2 linked regions of the Saccharomyces cerevisiae S288C genome follow. The protein of the gene in region 2 binds, or shares a complex with, the protein of the main gene of each other region. Each region holds a gene or a part of one and is shown on either strand. Other genes may lie near its edges.

Region 1 (2,485 bases), on a different chromosome or scaffold from region 2:
GATGCAATGTGTGAGTATTTGACCAATCATGTTAATTATCTGGAGAGCACACACAAAGAAGCTATGGGGGAGAAAAACTAATGAAGTGATTAACTATAATAATTTAATAATAACTCGCCATCCGACCTTGTATAATATAATGTAGCATATATGTGCACGGATATATATACATCTTAGAAAAAAATGAAAAAATGAAACCAAGAAAAAACTAACTGATGGTGTTCGGACAACGTTTTAGAATGAGGGTATCTAACTTTCTTCTACCATTCTCTGTCCAAAAACCTAGAAAGTAAAGTCCAGCCAAACCAAGATGTGTTTTCCAACGACGAAGACGCTGCGCTTGGTGAACGGTTTAATGTTTCTCCAGTGCTCTCATCTGTAAATCGTGACCGCGATGACGAATCTATATCTACGTCTGACAACCTGTCGAATTCAAGAGGCATCGAGTAGTAATTGAAAATAAAGTCACGCTGGGGGAAAAAAGATGGTATATCGTCAAATATTCTTTCATGATGGTATGTCAATAATTGCCGGCGAGTTTTCTCGCGGTAGCATGTTCTTAGAATTGGATACAAGTCTCTTGATAGTTTCTGCACAGCAATTCTTTGGGCATTTGTAAGTTTCTTTAATTTCGCAGAGGTATAAAGTTCTCTTTCCTTAAAGGAATAAACGGGAAATCCATGATTGACACCGTCGCTTGATTGAGGGACATTTTGATGCAGCTCATTAAATAAATGGCTGCCCAAACACCACTCATCGATCCGGTCAGAGTTACTAGACGATCGAATGTTACGAAGAGCGGGCGCCGGCTGCTCTGAGGGCGGAGAATTTTTATTGCTGTCACTGGATATCGACAGTATAGCAATTTCGTCAGAAGGAACTTCGAAGGCACTACTTGCAGATTCCAGTGTCTCATCGCGACTAATGGCAGTATTTGTACATTCTGGAGATAAATCTGGGTTATTGATAACCCTTACATCATTGAATGACTTTAATCTATGGAAGTCTAGCTCAAATTCCTCTTCTGAGAGTTCCAGGACTTCAAATAGCGATTCTTCATCGTGAATGCCGTTATTAATTCTGGGTTGAATGCGAGCAGACCTTGACCCGCAATCAACCTGGTAATTGTTCACAGATGCCATTAATGAGCTGTACTGACCACCAAATTTTAGTATTTTAAGCCCTGAATACAACCTTTGCTCCTTGTCGACATTCGTAAGTATATAGAAATCTATCCCTTCAAAAGATTTGTATTATTCGGGATTACGCTACAGCCGCACGTAGATCGTACGTGTATAACGATGTTTATCTTGGTGAAAGTATCTTAACGCGAATGCTCTAGTGATGGCACAATAGAATAGTGTCTTAGCACCACAGAGCGTGATTTTTTAAAGCTCTATATTAGCAACTACGATAGGTGTTTATTTAGTTTCTTTGTTGATCTTCCTGTTTCCAGTGTTACGGCCTTGTCAGGTCAAAAATTTTACCCGGATCTCTAGTAATGAGTAACTTAAGAATATCCCATCTGATTATTGGTAGTTTTACTGAACCAAGTTAGAGCTAAATAAATATATACAGCCGATAGTGCACTGGAACCTTATCCTAATATCTCAATGAAACTACCGGTAGCACAGTACAGTGCACCAGATGGTGTGGAAAAAAGTTTTGCACCAATACGCGATGACCCTCGATACATGACCACAGAGGGAAGGACAACTGGGCCCAGTGACCATGTGCTAAACGCTGGCCAAATCGATAGAGACAAACCTTCAGAACCGGAACGCACGAAAGATGGCTCACAACTGACATACTTAGGCCAGCTGCGCACGCAGCTGACGGGGCTACAGGACGATATTAACGAGTTTTTGACAGGAAGAATGGAATTGGCAAAAAATAAGAAGAAAGCCGGCGCAGACGAGAAGCGGATCCAGGAAGAGATTAACCAGCTATTAGATGGTGGTGACGGTGACGAAGATGCTGTTTAGGCAACGATATGTAGCGCTAGAGAGTGTATATACAAACAGAAAAGAGTCTAATGATAAATGACAAATATTTCGTTACAAGTGATAATTGTTGAACTAGGAAGAGTTGATATAAAAAAATAATAAACACACGATGGGATACAGTTAAGAAGGATTGATCGACTCCTAAATGATGCGAAGAAAGCCAATTTTCAACTTGGAATCATCCTGCCGGTTTGTTGTTGGTGTTAGCTGTGTTAGGACTCGTTAAAATGGCAATCAAACCAAGAACGAAGGGCAAAACGTACTCCTCAAGATCGGTGGGTTCGCAGTGGTTCAACAGGCTTGGTTTCAAGCAGAACAAGTACGGAACTTGTAAATTTTTGTCGATAATAACGGCCTTTGTTTTTATCCTCTATTTCTTCTCCAATCGCTTCTATCCAATTTCTCGTTCCGCCGGTGCATCATATTCTCCATCCCATGGGCTGTATATTAACGAAATTCCTGCCTCCAGCCGGTTGATT
Region 2 (3,386 bases):
GGAGGGCTAAGAGAGGGTTTAACACTTTGGTTTTGAGACCACATTGTGGTGAAGCCGGTGACCCCGAGCATCTCGTTTCAGCATATCTATTGGCACATGGTATATCACATGGTATTTTATTGAGGAAAGTTCCATTTGTTCAATACTTATACTATTTAGATCAGGTTGGTATCGCAATGTCACCCCTTTCTAATAACGCATTATTTTTGACCTATGATAAAAACCCATTTCCGAGATACTTTAAAAGAGGTTTGAATGTCTCACTATCCACAGATGATCCTTTACAATTCTCATATACCAGAGAACCATTAATCGAAGAATACTCAGTTGCAGCACAAATTTATAAATTGTCTAATGTAGATATGTGTGAATTGGCAAGAAATTCCGTGTTGCAAAGTGGGTGGGAAGCACAAATCAAAAAACATTGGATAGGGAAAGATTTTGACAAGAGTGGTGTTGAAGGTAACGATGTGGTTAGAACAAATGTTCCTGATATTAGAATTAACTACAGATACGATACATTATCAACTGAACTGGAATTAGTTAATCATTTTGCCAATTTCAAGAGAACCATTGAAGAAAAGTGATGGTTATACGCGCACATGTATATAAGGAGAACTTTTGGCAGTTCGATACACTGACTTCACGGAGAACAAATAATACTAATCTGAAAAATAATCAAAGAATTTTTTTTATAATTTTATCGTTAGATATCTCTTATCTACACACCCCTCAATTGAATAGCGTCTACCAAAGCTCTTGAGAGACCATTTACGTCTTGGGGCTTGAAATCATCACTTAATTTATAGATCTAATAGGTAAAAACAAAATAAAAGGAAAACAAAGGTGAAGTTAGTACAATGTGTTTCTGGTGAGGCTGTTGAAGTTTTTACCTCGAATTTATTATTAAAACATACTTTTCTTATGAGCGCTTCGTCATAAAATCTCGATAAATTGTCATCATTAAACTCGATCTCTTGTCCTTTTACTATAGAAGTCATAATCGTCCTCAATTGCTCTTTGTCTACATCGTCAGTATTAGTATGGAACTTAAGGCATATTAACTGTGACGAATCGTCTTTGATTCCGAATTTGAGGAAAGCATCACTAATATTGGAAGTGGGTGAAAGACATAGTACGCACTCGGAATTCAAATTTCTTGTTCTCATCTTGTTATATTTCACTTCTATTAAGGTCTTGTAAATTGCAGAATACATCTGCTCCCCCGAACAGACTAACCGGGGGTCAATAAAGGCAAAGGATGTCGACAATTCACTCATTTTAGAGCGTATTTCTTTAGCATTTTTAACCTGTTCAAACAATGCTAGTGAAACCTTGATATCAGGAAATTGCGGTATGATGGATACTACCATGATGATTGTATAATGGGCAGCGACGACGTATATTTGGTTATATCGACAAATTTGTTGACCGATAAAAGATTGTTGATGTATATTTTGGTTTGCAATTGAAATTTTCGCGCAAAAGATTAAACATGAAATATTGAAATCAATGGTATTAATGATCAACGAATATTACAGATCATCAATTAAAGAAACAAGCATTGTCAGAATCTAAGCTGGTTATTTTTTGGGAAGGACAAATTATGGACGAAAACAAAATAATCGACCAGTTGTTCAGTAAGGAATACACACCGCAAGATGACTCCGAGCAAGCCAAAAATGGAGATGTGTCGTTATATGGGTTATTAGATGAAGTAGCGAACGGTAGGCGGTTGATGAACTGTTTGTTTCATTCACCTATGCAAATGGGGAATAAATTGAGTACCGACAAACTTGATGGGAAATGTCGGCAAATACAAAGAGATTGGATTGATGAGGAAAAAACCATAACTATGAATTCTGGCGCTTTACAGCTGGATGGGCCAGTTCTATTTTCCTGGAGTCATAATGTAGCACCTACTTCTCATCAAGAAACTATAAATACAACCTTCAAGCAGGGCTCTCCGAGCAGAGGAAGCAACAAGCCCAAAATTACTACTACCAGTCAGTTATTTGATAGAGCTTCTGCTGAGATTGATAAGTGTATAAAGCCCAATAGCAAAAGTTGGATGGTGGAAGAAAGATTTGAGAGAAATGAGGCACATACAGCTGATGGCAAGAAACCTTCTACGTGGGCTAATTCCGATTTCAAAGTGGACCCGCTACAGAAATTCGTTGTTAAGGAATTGCCCAAAGAAAAGAAGAAATCAGACGGTGATAAGACAAAGAAAAATAAGTCGAAAAGGAAGAGTTTTTTTGGATTTTGGGGCCATTCTGGTTCTAAATCAGGTTCAAAAAAGAAATCCGAAAAGCCTATAGAGGCCAAAAATGAAATTCAGGATGAGGTAAGCCAAAAATCTGGCCTATCACCTGACGATGATACAACTTTCAGTGATAAAAATACCATCCAATCAAAGCAAGAGAGTATGAGTGATCAACAAGCTGAACCCAAAGTACACGAGCCCGCAGTTACTAACACTGGATGCAGTGAACATGATGATGGTGATGGATTTGAACAGGTACCTGCACAATCTAGTTATCATCCATCCAGCGAGCCCAGCATTGCCAGCACTCCTTCATTAACTCTAGATTCATTCATCCCATTACAACCAAAGAAGAAAATATAATAGATGCTTGTAGGCTTCAACATCTATTAGAGTCATCGGCGACGAGACGCCAAAAAATAAAGCGCAAAATAATCACACCCATTTTTTTTGTCGAGAATGAGAAGGAGATGGCTTAGAACTGGAAATATAAGGGATAGTGGCATCACGAGAAGCTGTTGTTCTGTTTTTTTAAAGTGTCAATTGGCCTGATTATACTCATAACTGCATTTTCATCACTTCCACGATCACTTGAAGTTGTTACAGCGAGTGTTTATACCTTCAATTCTCGTGTCACATTTTGCTATGAATAGGACTGTCTTTTTGGCATTTGTATTTGGATGGTATTTCTGTTCAATAGCTCTCTCCATATACAATAGATGGATGTTCGATCCGAAGGACGGATTGGGTATTGGGTATCCCGTGTTGGTGACAACATTCCATCAGGCTACTTTATGGTTACTATCCGGCATATACATTAAGCTCAGGCATAAGCCAGTGAAAAACGTTTTAAGAAAGAATAATGGTTTTAACTGGAGTTTTTTTCTAAAATTTTTACTCCCTACGGCAGTCGCTTCTGCAGGTGATATCGGGCTCAGTAACGTTTCCTTCCAGTATGTTCCCTTGACAATTTATACAATTATCAAATCTTCGAGCATAGCTTTTGTCCTTTTATTCGGCTGTATCTTCAAGCTAGAAAAGTTTCATTGGAAGTTGGCACTTTCAGTAATAATTATGTTTGTTGGTGTAGCATTAATGGTTTTCAAACCAAGCGATTCCA

What was found. The genes of interacting proteins can lie anywhere in the genome.
Region 1: CGI121 (region 2) and GON7 share a complex: the UniProt entries of both Saccharomyces cerevisiae proteins name them as parts of the EKC/KEOPS complex.

What each region holds. Positions count from the first base shown.
Region 1 is NC_001142.9:81,835-84,319, forward strand, and holds GON7 (chromatin DNA-binding EKC/KEOPS complex subunit GON7), read left to right. Parts: upstream 1-1,613; coding exon 1,614-1,985; downstream 1,986-2,485. Other genes in the region: alpha-1,2-mannosyltransferase MNN5, read left to right, coding at 1-81; ATG36 (Atg36p), read right to left, coding at 261-1,142; MNN11 (alpha-1,6-mannosyltransferase), read left to right, coding at 2,234-2,485. UniProt on the Saccharomyces cerevisiae protein: Component of the EKC/KEOPS complex that is required for the formation of a threonylcarbamoyl group on adenosine at position 37 (t(6)A37) in tRNAs that read codons beginning with adenine.
Region 2 is NC_001145.3:203,629-207,014, reverse strand, and holds CGI121 (Cgi121p), read right to left. Parts: upstream 1,374-3,386; coding exon 918-1,373; intron 812-917; coding exon 722-811; downstream 1-721. Other genes in the region: AMD1 (AMP deaminase), read left to right, coding at 1-587; LFT1 (Lft1p), read left to right, coding at 1,607-2,629; YMD8 (Ymd8p), read left to right, coding at 2,912-3,386. UniProt on the Saccharomyces cerevisiae protein: Component of the EKC/KEOPS complex that is required for the formation of a threonylcarbamoyl group on adenosine at position 37 (t(6)A37) in tRNAs that read codons beginning with adenine.